3 separate regions of the Mus musculus genome follow, and all the other regions are reported to be linked to region 1. The links are microRNA targets in miRTarBase. Many come from high-throughput screens and were not tested one by one. Region 1 holds a microRNA gene; each other region holds the end of a gene's coding sequence.

Region 1 (6,058 bases):
ACAGACATAAGATTTGCACCTAGGCAGACCTAGCTCTCAAGAATGTTTTCTTAATCACTCGGTTAAGCTTACACATTGATTAATTTAAACAAGCAAACAAAATCATTTGGCACTTTGAGACAAAAAATCATTAGTGTTGATTTGGGGTATTTTATCTAGAGACCATGGCCCAGTTGTGTGTACACAATGGAGATACCTGAAGAGATGAGAAGAGATAGAAGATTCTGTGTTGGTTTAGATATTCTGTGTTGTGTAAGATATTAAAGAAAAGAAACAATACTTTTCTATGTTTTGTTTAGTTATATATTGACAGTTGAGAGCTCATTAGTTTATTCAAGTAATTTGATTTTCTCTTTACAGTTCCTAGTTGTCAAATATCAGTATCAGGAAAATCCATCACTTTCAGTTGTTATTGACATGTTTGGAGGTTAAGATGTCTTGAAGATTAACAATCCAATTTATAAAATGAGTCATCTGTGATTTCAGATACAGAGAGAAGTGGACTAAGTTTACAAAATAAGAGTATCACAATAGCAGCCATGTCTTATAACTTTTAAGAGTTTTCTGACTCATTAATATTTTCATGGTTCTTTTGTGTTTGCTGCTATGTGTGTCTATAAACCTCTTCTGGTTATCATAGTTTTTAAGGTCAACATATAATTTCATTAACATTGGCCAGTTTGACTTTTCAATTATTGTATTTCTTTAGTTTTTAATTTTAGAAAATAATCCAATGTTTTCAATGTTTAATGCCAAAAGTAGCAAATATCCATAGGCCAAATAGAAAGTGAACAAATACTTCAGAGATTAATTCCAAATAGATCATATATTTAAAGTATCAGCTAAAACTATATAATTCTAAAGTATAACATAGAAAGAAGAACAAACAACCCCCAAACCATCTACCTAAATATAATTATCAACAAGGAAAAACAATGCCCATGATTGATTTTATTAAAATTAGAATCTTCTGAAATATCCCACCTTCCTTAAGAATATAAAAAGATTAGTTTCAGACTGAGAATATATAGATATATACATGTCTATACAGTACATAAACAACAAATGATAAAATACACACAAAATAAAATGAGATATGTTACACATATTCTTAATGGCACATAAGCACAGTGAAGCATTGTTGTCCATAGGAAGTGCAATAAGACTATCAAAAAAGATGTATATATGTTTCATTACAGAATTCTTGTGAGGATGCAGTGTAACTGATTTCTACATGCATTACTGATAAAAACCCAAAGAGGTATATTCACAATGCAATACAGTTTATCAGGTCCATGAGCACTAAATTCTACTTACCATCTTATTGCACATCTAAGCATTTACATCAAAGAAATGTTAACATGCACACAAACACACAATCCTAGATGTATGTGTGATAGCAGAAGGTAAGACAGGACTGAACTGTCCCTCATTGAAATGAATGATTAAACAGAGCAGTCTGTATCCACACTATGGAATACTACTCAGCAATAGAAAGAATTGAATTATTGATATACAGAACGATGCAGATGGGTCTCATGGGTATTATGGTGGATCTGAAAATGGCATTTTAAAGGGCATTCCAAAAGGTCGAATGCTATAAAATTCCATTTACATAATATTCTCAGGATCAGAAAATTATAACGATAGAAAGCAGATTAGTGGTTTTAAAAAGTCAAAGATATGGAGTCAGGCAGGACTGATTATGACTCAGAAGGAATAGTGGGAGGAGACTATAGACACAACATAATTCTGTATCTATGTTATTATGCTAGGTATGCTAGTGTATAGATGTATCAATGGAATAAAACTCCATACATCCATTATTCTGTGGAAGTTTCATGGCTTTAATACTACCATAGAATTAACATAAAAAGAAGTTAAAATGAGGACAGGACCCATAACGGAGTCAGATCCATGATGCAGTGAACAGATTTCAACACATCTGGACCATAGAAATTCTAGCTTTAAGTCTTCTTAATATAGTAGTAATTTAAATTAAGAAATATAATTCAGCTTTATCCTGTGCGACAGTAACTACTCTTGTAAACGCTCATTTTGAGTATTGTTTAAATTCACCATTAAAGCTGGAAGCCTACTTGAAGACAGCTGCCAAGTATGTAAGGTTATGGGAAAAAGCTGAAAAGTAGGGAATTTTGATCCTTGATCAATAGACACATAAAGTCATCTGTAGGTTCCTCTCGGTTTTGCAAGCAGACCGTGAGCTCTTTTATGAAATAGAAAATAAATGGCGTTCTATGAAGCTTGAGTAGACAGAGAAGGAAAAACTAGTGGAAGTTTCAGACTCACAGGATTCTTGTGGGCCATGATTTGATGGGTCTTCTTTCCTTGGACCATAATGGCTTAAAGGTTAACCAAGCTAGTAGGGTATTTTACCTAATGAATGTAATCTTTGAAGTACAAATTTGCTGATGTGGCTTCACCTTGTATATTCCCCTCTAAAGGAAATGAAACAAATCACGAGGCTGAGAATCTCATACCCTTTTCAGTTATGAAATAATTCTTATTACTTCTCTATTTACAAGAAACCCCACAAACTGAAATTAAATTCATGATTTTTTTCTCTTCTTTTTCTTATCATCTTTAATCACAATTCAATGGGAAAAATTCCCAGGAAAATTGTGAATTTTTATCTTAATATCTATTTTGAAATCCTTGGAGATTATAATCAATTAAATTAAATACATTTTGTAAAACAGCCCTTCATTTAGAACATATAATTTCCTAGGATGCCCATGTCTGTATTGAAGAGAAGGTTGAAAGAAAGTTTCTTGCTGATTTATTTTTGCTTTCTTCCTTGGGTCTGCTTTGAATATTCCTGAAGAGAGGCAGAAAATGTTATATTTAATATCCATATAGGATCTTCATTTTAGAATGGTGGTTTCTATCAGTATCCTCTTGTTAAAAGGCGGTACCTATAAATGGGTCAACTTAAGAAAACCTTCCTGAATTATTTGGATAAGCTGATGGAGTCTAATCTTCAAATGTCTATGTTATTTGTAGAGATGCCAGAATCTCAATTTATTTCACCTTTTCCTTTTTCTGACACATCATAAGAAAATGCTTTACTAATGAAGTACCCATTGGTAGTAACCCATTATGTGCGAGAGTCTCTCCTTACATCAGATGACATGCAAATGAACTGCTCAATTTCTGTGGCAAAGGAGAGCTGAGGAGTGGTCTAGTTAATCACACTTGAGGGCTGCCCTAGATGTCATCTGGGAAATATGATCATTATTCATTCTTATTTAAGGGCCCTTACCCTGTGCATAAGATAATCTCCCATTCATTCCATTTGGGTTTGATGTTAATTATGGGAGCATTCATAGAAGTTTCTTGCAAGAAATGAATGTGAGGTTAAACCTAGAGTGTGAGGAAGAAAGAGAATTTGTGGGTCCGGTGACTATAAAACCATGCAAGCAGTTGCAAGTGAGATGTCAGAAACCTCAGAGAGCATCTACATCAGTTTGAAGCAGATAAAAGTGGAATAGAGAGATGAAACGACTTACGAAAGCCTGCAGTGGGTACAGGAAGTTATCTTCATCTACAAATGAGGTAGCCAGGTGCATCAGTCACCTATATAGGGAAAGGATAGTTGTGTGAGTTGAAACCATCACGTTGGGTCCTGTCCAGTGATTAACTAGCCAGTGATTTTGTCAAACCATTTAACTTTCTGCATTTGTTTTCTTAGTATATGATAAAATGACCAGACTAGAGCATTTCTTCTTCCGAGAAGAGGAGACCAAGTAAGATCTTTAATAGGAGAATATGCAACTTTGAATTGAATATACTGGAAATTTCTTCAAGAACTTTTGAGTTATCAGCCCTAAATATCAAGCAAATTTGACTCCAGTACTTTTGAATTTGCTATTACATTAGTTGTTATAAAAAAAAAAAAACACTGCTGTTTATTTGGATACTATTTCTTTTCTTTTTCAGTATTTCTCCATGTGAACTCTAGTTGACAACAATTGATAATGTCATGAATAGAATGAGTTTTCCCTTAATCTCACATGTCTTTTGAGGCATCAACCACTCATGTGTGCGTGTATGCACAGCCCTTGTTCACCTTGTGGCCATGGAATTAAGTCATTTTTCTTTTTCAACCACCCATGCAGGTCTAACGTAAATTGTTTTTTGAAAAATTATATATGTCTTAAGCCAATATTTCTTGTCTGGTGAAGCATAACATGTATAGATATAAATTCCTAGTATAGGTTAAATTCTGTTTTGTTTTTTTCTAAAGCAAAATAAAAATTTTGATCTATTTATTTGACTTATATATTGAATTTTACTTAGTAAAAATTCATAGATTTTATTTATCAAAGAACTAATCAAAAATATGATTTTATAAAGAATTGTTTTTATACTATTTCAAATAATATATGTCTGAGAAAAAACAAATACATTTGATATTAGTTTTAGTATATATGGTTGCTTTTCTATGGATATTTATATTAGTTTTTTAAAAATAATTTATTTGCATTATTTTACTGTTTATATACAAGTTACTGGTTTATAAATTCAATAAGCTTGAGGAAATTCTTATATTTATCTTCATAATTACGTACCATTTTTCTACATCTTTGATTTTAGTAACCTTAATAGTTATAGGTACTCTGTGGAGTTGATTCAGTTTTGTTTAATATTGTAGTAAAAGATGAAAATGCTACAAATATAAATAAACAAGTGTATTCAGTCAAATAAGATACTTTTACCCCCTTTTAAAAATATGTCTTCAAGCAACATTTAAAGAACACAAGTCCCAGCTTTAACACATGTTCTGAAAACAGATATATCCTAATTTTTAATCTCATTAATCTCATCCTTCCAAAATACAATGGTGGAAGTCCTCCATAACACCCTTAGCTTATAACATGGTAGGATGATGATGATGACAATAATAATAATAATAATAATAATAATAATAATAATAAAGTGCTGGTGCACTATTACAGGAAAAGTTTATTTTCACTTTTTTTATGATATATTTGTGACTACTAGTCCATATGAAACATTTAGAGACCAAACTAACACATTTAAAATTTTTTACTAATTTTACAGGGTAAATTATTAGGGTCAATGGTAGTTCATGGACTAACCAAATTTTTATGGTCCCCTTTAAAATGAATCACATACTTTCTGAAGAATTTAAAGGTATTTTATTCTTCATTCTTCAAAACCATTTTTTTTTCCATAAAATGGCATTTTGAATTCTAGTAGCCATGTAGAAACTGTTTGCTGTCATATGTAGCATCAGCGGAAAAGAGGGACTGGATCGTGTTGTTCAACACATCTTCTTTTACCTAGAGCAGGGCTCTCACGTGCTCTGACCTTTGGAGTGACTGTTGTCTTGAGTGATGTACTTAATGAGATCTAATGACATCATGACCCTGACCCCTTCATGGCCCTTGCTCTTCTCATCCATCTTCTTAACCCCACAGGCTGTGAGTCAGTGTATAGAAGGAGGATTAAACAAGTGTGAATAAACAAGTTCACGAGTGTTCAGCCTCAGCTGCTGGTGCATGGCGGTGGCAAAGTAAGGCATAGAGAGTTTAACACCGACAAAGTGCCTTAGGCAGCACCATGAATCCTGCTGCAGAAATCACCCCTCAATGTCATGTAGCTAGTCTCCTAGCTTGGCCCACTCCTGGTCAGGGGTGACGGTTGGCCTTTATAATCACATAGCTGTTGGCACAGTCAATGAAAAGATGGCTGATCTATCGCTTACCCAGTGTCACAGATGACTAGAGCTTTTATCTCATTAACTGTGATTAATGTTTGTGAGGCATGGGCTTGTCATGGAACCGTCCATATTCAGCAATGTTGAATACCTCCTCCTACATGATGAGTGAAGGCCATTTCCAGAGGAGAACATTCTCCAGCCTGATTTTCAAATTATCATTTCCACTCTGGGGTGTCTGATGGAGTTCTACCCTGAGTTGTTCTACTGAATTACATGTGTTTTCTCTCATTGAATATTAGCCTGCCTTCATACACTAGAGCTCTAAAGGAAAGACATGAATAATTAACTGGT
Region 2 (6,058 bases), not on the chromosome of region 1:
CCCGCATCGTGCAGTTTAATTTGTGCCATGATGTGTTTGTGTTCTCTTTATGAGAGCTGAAGTCTGCTCTGAGAATAAACAGAGTAGAAATTGAGGCACAGAAAATCAAAGGGAGGTGTGTTATCTTTATAAAGAGTTCCTTGAGATGTTGTAACAGATGACTGCAAAGTGGGGGTCAGCTCATCAGGGATGTACTGTCTCCTCATTCTCATGGCTAGAAATCTAAACCTAGAGCTAGTCAGTCCTTGGCTTGAGGCAGCTTAAACTGTGTGCCATCATCTTCAGATGGCCCTCTCTCTGCCTGACCAGTCCTTGGAGTATGTCCTCACCTATAAAAATCTATCCAACTAAGACCCTAGCTACAGGAGACGGGTCAGGACATGGATTTATCTTTTGGAAGCCATAGATCACCCCAGGGTAGGCTTGTCTTAGAATCTCTCTGGTCAGATCCTGATGTCACATGGTGTATCTCTCCCTGGCTGGCCCTCCAAATACACGGCATCTCATCTTCTCAACATGCCTTGGGTGGGGCTAACCACCTTGCCAGGCACTTCCCTGAATGCTGGAGGCTTCATTAGGATAAGGAAGGGCAAGGTCAACCTCCATAAACTATTCACCCGGAGCCTCTGGCCTTCCTAGAAGACACCAGAAGTTCTTTCCATTAGGCTTCCATTAGACACCATTAGTTCTTTCCATGTCAGGCTTCGCTGCTTTCTGCCACCTGAGTAACAGATGGATAATAGGTTAGTGACAGTCTTGATCAGCCCTGTCCCAGCCTGGGTCTCCTGACCACTGGGTATTACTTGAGGACACAAAGAGCCTCTCCTATCCTGAGAAGCAGAATCACAGAACCACTGCAACTTTCCTCCTCAACATTCAAGAGATATAAATAGACCGACCCTTGGTTGTGTGTGTGTGTGTTCACTTTGTGTTTTATTTTCCAGCCTCCACTATGCTATGAAGCTCCGGAAAGTAAGCAGATGGCATTCCTGAAGATCACTGGATTTAAGGAAGTCGAGGAAGCAATGAACACTATTGTTTCTAAACTGGAGACTGACCTTGCAGGAATGTATTTGCAAACTGTGGCAACTTAGCTGCTAAAAATTGTGTTTGCTTCACCCTCGAGCTAGAGTCAAGTGTCCTTTGATACAGGACTGAAACATTCCAAATAGCCCATCTGAATTTGGAGCTGACATTCATCCCACTGCATACCCCGTGGACCCCCAGATATATGATGTGCCCTTCTCTCTTGTGAAGACCAGAGGGTTTCTCTCTGTATGCAGCCAGAGGGCTTCTCTCCTTGAAGCCTGCCTTGGCTGGCCTCAGAGTTAGGAGGTTTTGTGCTGTGAACTCGTAAGCTAAAGTCAGTTTGGGTTCATGGTGCTCAGTATGTTTTCCTAGAAGGCAAGGATGGGAGGACCCAAAAATGTTGTCCTTTGAGCCCACATCAGGATGTGGCCCAGACAAGGTGCTTTGTTATCCATAAAAACCCATAACAAAGCCCCTGGCAGGCCAGCCTGAGCAACTGTGGACTTTGCCACATCAGACACTGGGAATAGTGTCTGTGTTTTTAGGCTCTCCATCCCCCAGGCATCTCAGAACTAGCCTTAGTCTTTAGTCCTCTCAACCCACAGTGAGCAGATGGAGGTGTGAATGGGAATTTCTCAGAAGCTATGTCTACATAAGTTAATTGATTAATTTATTATTATTTTATTTTATTTTTGGTTTTTAATAAGATAGGATTTCTCTATGTAGCCTTGGCTATCCTGGATCTCCCTTTGTAGGCTAAGCTGACCTGGAACTCACAGAGATCCACCTGCCTCTACCTCCTGAGTGCTGGGATTAAAGGCATACACCATCACTGCCTGGCTTAACATTTTAATGATGTAGAGAGGCATAGCTTAGGCTGTTCCAACCTAAGCAATGTCTTGCCTCCCTCTGGGTCAGAACTAACATGCTGTAGAGGGCACAAGGTTCTTGTGCTCACAGAGAAGTAGACCTGTTTTCCACCCAGATGTCTGGGAATGGATATAGTTAACATCCTGGTGTTCTGTGCTATTTGTAGACCTAGCACACACTTGAACAGACTATTGTCTTTGTTTATCCCAGACTCTTCCTCCATAGGCCTTTTGCCTGCCAATAGGCCCTTTTCTTGAATACTGTTGCTCAATAAATCTCATCCTTATAGGAGATGTCACTGTCACTTGTATATTAGAAAAGCCTAGGGGACCTCTGTGCTACCTGTAGGGCCAGGCCACTCTTGACTGCCACCGATTTTTATATGTGTTTATCCCAGATTTTTTCTTCTTAGACCTGTATCTCCAGCACTGTTTGTGAGTCAATAGACCTCTACCTCTGCCAAACTTATCTTGTTTTGTTTGTTTGGTTGGTTTGTTTTCTTGGTGTAGCCCCAGATGTCCTGGAACTCACTCTGTAGACCGGTCTGGCCTCAAACTCAGGAATCTACCTGCCTCTGCCTCCCAAGTGCTGGGATTGAAGTTGTGCATCACCATGCCAAGCTAACAGATCCCGTCTTTACGGAAGAGGCCATAAGTACTTTGTAAACTGTGTCAATGTCAACCTGTCTTAAGCATTATTGTACATAAGTGACCGAGTTAATTATCATCAAAAAACTTCCCCCGGAAATTTGTGCTGTGCTTAAATACAGCTAAAGTAAACTGCTGGGGTCAGACTCTAGAAGTTTGACCTAGCATAGGCTAAGTTGTGTTGAACTGGATTTCCTTTTGGCCTCAAATGGATCATTAGGCTGCCAGCCTTGGTGTTTGCAGAGATCCCCAAACATCCTGACAACAGATTTAAACCAAACCAAACCAAACCAAACCAAACCAAACCAAACTAACCAACACTATAGAACTATTCACTTGATAAAACTATTCTCCACCAGTCCAAGTACTGTGAATGCTGTCATATATCTGAAGCCAGAGCTGAGATTATCACTGTGCTGTAACGTTTAACCCTTCCTCTAGTGTGTCTGAAGAACGCCTTACTTTATAACTTTTTGTTCTGTTCTACAAAACTCCATGGAGCCATGAAATTGGGGTACCTAAATCTATGCTTCTAGGGCCATGGTCACTGAAATTTGGGTACGAAATAAAGTATTTCTAATTCCTTTTGAAAGCTGTGTTTTTGCTTCTACTTCAGGACTAGGGATGATGTCAGGCCCCAAGACCCGTTTGTGTGCTTTGAGCTTTTTGAAATATTAATGCTACCAAGGTGGTGCTTCTGCTCAAAGTTGTACAATATCACAGTATGTGCTTTGACCATTTCCTTTTTCTTTGTATTATGTGATGGTTGATTCTTAATTAAAAAACATTTTACTTGATATGTAATGATGTGTTTTAGTTAGGTTTCTATTGCTGTGGCAGACACTAAGACCAAAAGCAGCCTGGGGGAAAGAGTTTGTTTCGTTGTACACCTTGTAGTCCATCACGAAGTAAAGTCAGGGCAGGAATTCAAGCAGGAACCTGGAGGCTGGAACTGAAGCAGAGACCACAGAGGAAGACTTGCTCCTTATGGCTTTCTCAGCCTGCTTTCTTGCATACCTCAGAACCACCTGCCCAGGGGGTGACACCACCCACAGTGGGCTGGGCCCTCCCACATCAATCATTTTTTCAACAAAATGTAGCCAAGTGTGATGGCCCAAATCTTTAATCTCCAAATGGAAAGCAGGCAGATCTGTATGAGTTCTAGGCCATTCTGGTCTACATATAAGTCCCAGAACAGAGACTAGAGAGACCCTGTCTCAAAAAATAAAAGGTCCCACAGGCTTGCCTATTGTCTTATGGAGGCAATTTTTCAAATATGGTTGAAATGTTGAGATAACTCAAGCTTTTGGCAAGTTAACAAAACAAAACAAAACAAAAAACAACTAACCAGGACAAGGGGTTTTGCCCTGCATGTGCCTATGTACCACATCCATGCCTGGTGCCATGCAAGCCATAAGAAAGCCTTGGAAACTCTGGAGCTGGAATTATAACTGGTTATAAGCTACATGGATACCAGTAATTGAACCCAGGTTCCACTGAGTCATCCATCTAGCCCCCTGAGGGTTAATTATGGTTTTCAGTACAACATGATCTCTTGTGCATGCCCTGGCTCGCCAGCAAGAACGACGCTGCAACAGGATCCTTCTGCACATTGGGAGAGCTTGATTGCAGAGGCGAAGAGACCCTAATCCCAGAACTGGTGCTGCTTATATAGGCCTAGGAGAGGCGTGTCTCACACCCGGATTGGTTATGCATGGGTTATGCTTACCACCTCATTTGCATGTCTCACATCTGATTGGTTAACATGTCTCTCATCTGATTGGTTAACTTCTTTCTCATCTGATTGGTTAACTTGTCTCTCATCTGATTGGTTAACTTGTCTCTCATCTGATTGGTTAACTCTCAAAACCTCATCTTGGCAAAAAAAACTTTACTGCCTATGTATGCGTGGTGGCCAGCGGTAACCAGCGCCACCCTGCAATGGCACATGTGGCTTCCCACAATGATCTAGAGTCGCCCAGGAGGTGACTACAGGCATACCTCTCAGGAAATTTCTAGATCCAGTTAATTAAGGTGTAAATAAACTGTGAGCCCAAACACACTTTCCCTGCTTTTGTCAAGTGTTCCCCCTGTCCCCTCTCTGAGACTCAATCATACTCTGTAGATTAGGCTGGCTTTCCTCTGCTTCCTGAGTGCTGGGATTAAAAAAATATACACCATCATACCCAATAGGTCTTTTGTTTGTTTCTGTTTTGTTTTGTTTTTAGACAGGGTTTCTCTGTGTAGCCCTGGGTGTCCTGGAACTCATTCTGTAGACCAGGTTGGCCTCAAACTTGGGAATTGCCTGCCTCTGTCTCCAGAGTGCTGGGATTAAAGGTGTGCACCATCGACAGACACTTTTTTTTTACCTTTTTTTTTTTTTTTTTTTTTGGAGACAGAATTCCACTCTGTAACCCTAGACAAGTGCCTTTTAATAGTGTGCACCACTACATTTGGCTGTTGTTTTAATATCATATTAATGTGTGTTTGTGGGGGGTGGGGTGGGGGCATATCCACCTGAGTGCAGGTGTCCTTGGAGGCCAGAGAGGTCGGATCCCCTGTAAATTAGAGTTAAAAAGCAACTGTGCGCTGGGAACTGAACTCTGGTCCTCTGAAAGAACAGCATATGCTCTTAATTGCTGAGGCATCATCCCAGCCCCTGGGGTTGATTTTTCAGACAGGATCTCACTCTTTGCCCAGGCTGGCTATCTGTGCAGTCCAAGCCTCAGACACACAGTCATTTGTAAAAGCCACCACATCAAAAGTTAATGCTTGGAGTCCCGAAGAAAGAGCAGTGATATGCACAGAGAGACACATGGACTCTCTGGGTTCCTTATACATGGAAAAGAGAACCCTATCTTACATTTTGGTATATTAAAAGGCTGAGTGGGGTTACTGGGTTACTGCGAGTGTAGGCCTTATCTACAGCCTTAGAGGTCAAAAGTGGTCAGAGCTTCCTGTGAATATACTTCCCTAAAATGGTACAGCAAAAGGCATTTCCTTTGGGAAATCAGACTACAGTGGTTTCCATTCGGAAGAGACTTGTGATCACCAAACAGAGATAAACTGAATCACAGATTACCTTTGAGTTTAGATTTACCCTTGTTGGAGTCCACTGAAAGACCCTCACTCACAAAGACCTGAGACAGAGATCACTGCAAACTGCAAGAGGTTTATTGACCAAACGTGTTGGGGTCCCTCAGCACTCAGGCAAGAGGAGACCCCAAAGGAACAAAGAGCACACTTTTTCTACCTTGTAAGGGGCAGATTTAGGCAACAGAGCTAGCTGGCTTGTTCTAATTAGTGTAGCAAGTGACCCTTTCAGGCATTGGTTGGTTTGCATGGGGTGACTACCTTTGGCCTAGTGCCTCACTCTGCCTGCCCTTGTTTTTTTTTTTTTTTTTTTTTTCTCAGCATTGTTTAGTCGGCCAGCTTTCTTATCTGGTTCTGCACTTGGCCTGCTAATATAGTTTGGAAAGTCCCTTCAGAGGGGAAAGGGGCTGGGTGGTCTT
Region 3 (6,058 bases), not on the chromosome of region 1:
TCAAAGATTTCTTTCTTCAAATTCAGTTCTGTTTCTTGTCAAAATTACAGCGGAGCCTGTCTATTTGGAGAATTCTCAGCTTCCTCCCTCGCCTTTGTTCTTATGGGATGGAAGAGGCCACTGCAGACTTGAGGCTAAGGCATGCCCAGAGAAACTCCCCCACCTAACCTCAGAGACCACTTAGCCTTCCAGAGGCTTATTTTTCTCTCAGGCCTTGGCTATTTCTTTGAAAATTTTCTGCTCTTTTTCTCTCAACCTCTCATTTCCCTTGGCTTATGTTCTGTCATTTCACGTTTTCTAATTAATTATTCATCACTTAGCTACTCTGTCATATTTGGATGCCATCATAACGTCCTGACAGTTGATGGCAAACTTGTTGGGGCTGGCAAGCTATGTTGGGATAAAGCGACTCTCTGAAGTACCCAAGAAATAGCTGATGGCTGATTTGGCTCGAGTCGGGGAGATGAGAAGAAGAAGGACAGGAAGACTGTGGGACAGACAGCACAAAAAACTAGGCATCTAGAATAGGGTGGTAGACAGGGGCAGAAAGCAATGAAAAAATTTATCATCAATCAGAGGTGACTACTGGGAATTCCCAGCCTTCTTGAGGACATTTTGAGCTTCCACTGCACATGTGATGGATGTGTGTGTATGTGTATGTGTGTGTTAGATGTGTGTATGTGTGTAAGAGGGTCACATGGGTGGATGGGAGGTAATCATATCTATTCAGAAGTGGGTAGTGACTCCAGCTGACATAGAGATGTTAGTGTTTCAAACTCCACAAAAGCCAGATGCAAGGCTTGCTCTTGGGCCCCTTCTGAAGATCACAGTTCATACAGACCGCCATCCAAGTATGTGCAGAGCGAATACAGTTTTATCCACCATTCATTTGTTTACTTTGGTGTCTATTCCAACCCTGGGTTTTTGAGAGGCCTCAGATGTGGCTCTTTATTCTTTTCAGCAAGAATTCCTTTTCTCCGGCTTTCTTTCCATCCTTCTAGTTCACGTACTGCAACCTCTCATATCCTTTGCTCACTCCTCCTGTCTGAAAGCCATCTTCCATCCTTCACTCTCCCCGATGCAGCTCCAGTGTCATGGGCTGGGCTCAGCCCTGTGTCTTCCGATTGCTTGGTTTGGCTCTTGTAGTTGAGCGTAGCAACAGCAATCACCATTTTATGGTAAAGGATTCCTGATGGTTTACAAAAATACTATCTTCTATTCCATAGTCTTCGTGAAAAGCCTTGTCTAAGTATAGGGCAGAGACAAAGAAATGGGGAAAGAGGGAAGGGAAGAGACACTCATCCTTTAGAAATAACATACTGAAACATGGCTAGAGGAGATTGTGTATTTGAAGCATGCTATGAAATAACCCAGGAGGAAGGAAAGGAGCTGGGTGTCGTGGTGCAAACAATACTGGTCACATTGTCGGAGCTCTGTAATGAACACATGAAGGTTCAATAGCTATATTGGCCTAAGCTTTGAGGAAGTTTGAAAATTTCAGTACAGAAGTATAGTGAACTCTAGCAGTGTTTCAGTATGTTATTTCTAAAAGTATAGTGTAACTAAAGTGTTTTACTAACTTCCTAGACATGGCTTATACTGGTCTGCACAGGCACCATGGTTTTCTCGATTGAACATGACCTTTAAGAGATTTCGTGAGCTTCATTCATAACATCCTTTCCTAAAACACGCACCAACCCTTGCTTTCTATTGATGTACAGCCATGGCTCTATCACTGTCCTGGGAGCTCCTGGTGGCAGGGAAAGTTTCTTACTCTTATCTTTGAACCCAGAGTGTTCTATTGACCTAAAGTAATCCGAAGGGACTGTCTACCAGGAAATCCCCAGCCTGGTGATACCCCTTTCTAACTGCTGTGAGTCTGTCTGGAAACTGACAGCAGGAGCTCCTGAGGGAAGTCACAGAGCATCCATGAAGAATTGTCCTCCCTGGGTGATAGAGAAGTCCCCTTGCCTGTACGCATGCATGGCCCTATCACTGTGGGACTGACTCTTGTTGCAGGATACTTGATCACACTGTGAACCCCAAGCTTGTGAACTGGGAAAAACTTGTTGTGGTGTGGCTCAGCCTTAGCACACGTCTTTAACACAAGAGCTAAATAAAATCAAACTTAGGTCAAGAGGCAGAGCAAGCAACCAGCTAACAGGGAGCAGACATAAGCGAAGAGAAAGGAGGGTCTTTGAGTTGAAGGGTATTTAAGACAGTGTTGAGAAGGAGAGTGGGCGTTCTCCTTCTGGGATGTTAGTGTAACAGGAAGGTCAGCTGGGTGCTTTCTCTGCCTCTCCGAGCTCGCAGGTTTTCACCCCAGCATCTGGCTCCTAAGTCTTCATTGGTAAAATCAAAGGCTGGGCTTTTTTTTAAACAAAACAAAACAAAACAAAACAACAGACTCTTTCATAGGTCTGGTCCTTTTTCTTCTGATAATTCCAGTATCTGTTCAGATCTAAAGGTCACACCAGATTTGATGCTTCCGGTGGTGTGTAGCTAATAACTCACTTGTGAATGTGAATTAATAATGCCTTTGTCCTCACTGTGTCGCATGCTTTTGAGCATTCTCCATCTTGGCATAACCTTTGTTATGGTTTGTGTATCCTCAGCCTACTAGAAGGTGTAGCCTTGTTGGAGTAGGTTTGTCACTGTGGGTGTGGGCTTTAAGTCCCTCATCCTAGCTGCCTGGAAGCCAATATTCTGCTAGCAACCTTCAGATGAAGATGTGGAATTCTCAGTTCCTTCTGCACCATGCCTGCCTGGATGCTGCCATGCTCTTACCTTGATGATAATGGACTGAACCTCTGAACCTGTAAACCAGCTCCAATTAAATGTTGTCCTTGTAAGACTTGCCTTGGTCATGGTGTCTGTTCACAGCAGTAAACCCTGACTAAGATGTCCTTCATCTCTGGACAGAGAGAACGATGCCCTTCCTCTTGTCTCATACCCCTTGGGTGACAGGACCCTCTTGTCATTTCTCTTATGCACCCCATGTTCTTCCCTTCAGACCCAAATCCTTGGCATCCCCCTGGATTCTTTACATTGAGCTTCATCCTTTGCTGTTCATCTCTTAGCATTCTCAGGCTGGAGCTTCTACTGTATGCTCACTACTCTTAAGTAGCTTTGATGAGTCTTAGCAGTCACTTTATCTTGAAGGTTTCTGCTGCGGGAGACATGTGTGATTGCATCCATTTGACGACGGTCACAGAGGGTAAGTAGCTAGTTTAAGGTTTTAGAACCAGCAAGGGACAGAAGCAGAACCCTGTCTCCTAAATCTTAGAATTTCCTGACATTGGCTCAGAGTACTGGGAACTGGGCTAAGCCAGGGTGGAGTGGTTAGGACTATTTTATGGATGCATGTTGATATTGACTGAAAGCTTGATATTGCCTCAAATTAATTTTCTTTTCCTTTTTAAAAAAACTTTGTATTGACTCTTTGTGAATTTCACATGGGGCACCCCAATCCCACTCACTTCCCCCTCCCTTCATACCTGCCCTCTCTGCTCTTGCAGCTTACCCCCAACAGAGAAAACAAATCTCATTGTGGAAGCTGTAGTGTGTCAGTGTGTCCCACAGTATACCCTTTGGTCTATACTTCTATGCTTGCAAATGTTCATTGCATTGAGTCTGGTACTAGGCCTCTGGCTTCTGCTACTCTATCAATATTGGAACCTCTCTGGGACTCCTCTCAGAGATCCTTGTTGTTGCCCTGTGTCATGGAGATCCTATAGTTTTGGATCTACAGGACCAGCCCCTTCATGCACTTTAGCAGTTCATCAATGGGATAGATGTTGGGTAGGCCAACTCAAAGCCCTGGATCTGAGCCTGAGAGGTATCTGAGCTGGTCAGTCCACCAGCTCTCCCATTCTTACACTCTTGGGCCAGCTCTACCCTGAGCTCAAAAGAGGTACACGGCTGTTCTCCCAGGTGTTGAGCAGTTGTGGGCTAGGCCAGCTCTCCTGCTCTGATGACCTCAGGGCCAGCTCTCCTGCCTGCCATAGGTGGCAAGGGGCAAGGTGTGGGGGGTATCTCTTCCTTGACTATGTCACCAAATAGCAGACAAGTGGCAGGGCCAGCTCTCCCACACTCATGTCCTTACAGTCAGTTTACCCAGCATTACTATGATACCCAGATGAGGTGCAGGGCCCACTCTCCTTAGTAACTACTGTGGTAGATGGACTAGTTATGTGTTCTGGATCACTCTCACATGCTGCAGAATTACATAGAGAGTTCCGGTAGGATCCCGATACATACATACATAACAAAAGGAGCACAGGTATGTATTGGATTCATAATTTTGGAAACTTTATTATCTAAAGGGAAAAGGGAAGATACAAAAGTTGGTTTATTTACCAAGCAAGGGCAGCAGGCCTACAGGAAGTATTGACCTTTTCTTTTTTCTTTTTTTTTTTTTTTTTTTCCTGAGCTGTCAGATTGTGGGAGAGTTGACCAGGTGGCTGTGTTTTCTGTCCTGGTCTAACATTTTCGAGGTTGCTGAATAATGTAGGCCCTCTTCATTGGAGCAGCCTTCTCCAGAGCGGGTGTGGGCTTTTGATGTGCCGTGTGAACTGTCGCTGGAAATTTATGGTTGAGCTGAAGGTGAAGAGGGAGAAGAAATAAGCATATCGGATCCACTGGGTCCACTGGTCAAGTCGCAGTCTCTACTTCTTAGATAAGACCTTCCTTCCCCAAGACCCTCCTTCCACAGCACTGCCCATCCTCAGGCTATGGAGGGGAGTGTGTTTGTGTGATACACTGTTTCCTTCACTAATGTGTCTTTACCTTTCATCATCATAAGAGTATATGACATATATAAGTCAAAGTCTAGGCTGGCCTTGAACTCATGACCCTCCAGCCTCAGCCTTCTAAGGGCTGGGATCAGAAACCTGTGCCGTCACCCCATGCTATATATTTGCTCTGAGGTCCCATTTTGAAAAGCAGAAATGGTGAAGCATTACCTGTGTCCATGCTCTGTAAAGTAAGAGTGATTCTAGCATTAGCGTGTGGAATAGATCGTTATATTCTACCAAGCATGGGGAGGTATTAAGAGGTTTGGGAAGGGGGGGTGGATTCTTCAATTAATTATCTAACAATCAGGAGAAAAAGAGCCCTTGAAAGAAGTTACAAAGTGTCAGTTTACGTGTTAGGGCAGCACATCTGAAATTGTAACTCTTTTTCAGTAAAGAGTCTGATGTTGGCCATTCCTCCCAGTCCACTAAACAGCTTGGTGAAGGAACATTGAAAAGCAACTAGCTGCAGGTGAAAATGATTCTCATGACTTGGCTGTGAGGAAGTGGGCTTACATGCCGGGAGACTTGCTGCCAGTAACAGATATTTGCTTTTGACCAAAGGTCCTGTGAGATTTACATCCAGTGATGCTTAAGATGAGAGGGCTTCGGAGCTGCTGAGTGATGCACACACTCTTCCTAGGAAGAGTTCGAACTCAGTGACCTTTGGGCCTGTTCAGTTTTGCGTTTTCAAGCTCATCAATAGTGTCCCAAGGTACCTCAAGACCGGGCTGTTAGCCAGCCAGGAAGTGGGGCCGTGGCTTGCTAGCATTGAATTTATCACTATTGAATTTGAACGCCCTTGCTTTGATACTCAAACTAAATAAAAGCGGATAAACTGTTATGACCCTGAGGAGCACATTGTTTATGGTTGCACTGGGTTCTTCTAAACTAGGGAAAACATGTGCCTTACAGCTCTTCTCAAACACCCCTGGCCCAGCTATTGCACACAGCAGGAACTTTCATGTGAAACCTGACTCTGAAAAGTCTTCTTGATCTTTAAATGCACATGTATACACACACACACACACACACACACACCACACACACATACCACACACACACACACATATACCACACACACACACACACACACACACACATACATATACCACACACACACACACACACACACACACACACACACACACACATATACACACACACCACACCACACACACATACACATACTATACATACATAAACACACTACATACACACACTATACACATAAACATACACACAGACACTACACACACACACAC

The links. The annotated mature microRNA mmu-miR-691 reads AUUCCUGAAGAGAGGCAGAAAA and lies in region 1 at 2,836-2,857, shown strand. An mRNA with a match to its seed (bases 2 to 7 or 8) in the 3' UTR can be bound and repressed. Matches are read on the target gene's strand: a 7mer-m8 pairs with bases 2 to 8, a 7mer-A1 pairs with bases 2 to 7 and ends in A, and an 8mer does both.
Region 2: the mRNA of Tnfrsf26 is a reported target of mmu-miR-691. Seed matches in the 3' UTR shown: 7mer-m8 at 2,456-2,462.
Region 3: miRTarBase lists Dapl1 as a target of mmu-miR-691. Seed matches in the 3' UTR shown: 8mer at 4,424-4,431.

The regions. Positions count from the first base shown.
Region 1 is chr16:74,338,804-74,344,861 of GRCm38, reverse strand. Mir691 (microRNA 691) reads left to right here and starts at 2,795; the gene lies at 2,795-2,872. The region is part of intron 2 of Robo2 (roundabout guidance receptor 2); the gene reads left to right.
Region 2 is chr7:143,604,947-143,611,004 of GRCm38, reverse strand. Tnfrsf26 (tumor necrosis factor receptor superfamily, member 26) reads left to right here. Exons shown (of 8, transcript NM_175649.5): 8 at 945-3,320. The coding sequence ends at 961. Among named protein-coding and RNA genes, the nearest start is that of Gm15579, 7.9 kb to the right of the region's middle.
Region 3 is chr2:59,503,252-59,509,309 of GRCm38, reverse strand. It overlaps Dapl1 (death associated protein-like 1), which reads right to left. Exons shown (of 4, transcript NM_029723.3): 4 at 4,290-4,599. The coding sequence ends at 4,483. Among named protein-coding and RNA genes, the nearest start is that of Gm39831, 5.9 kb to the left of the region's middle.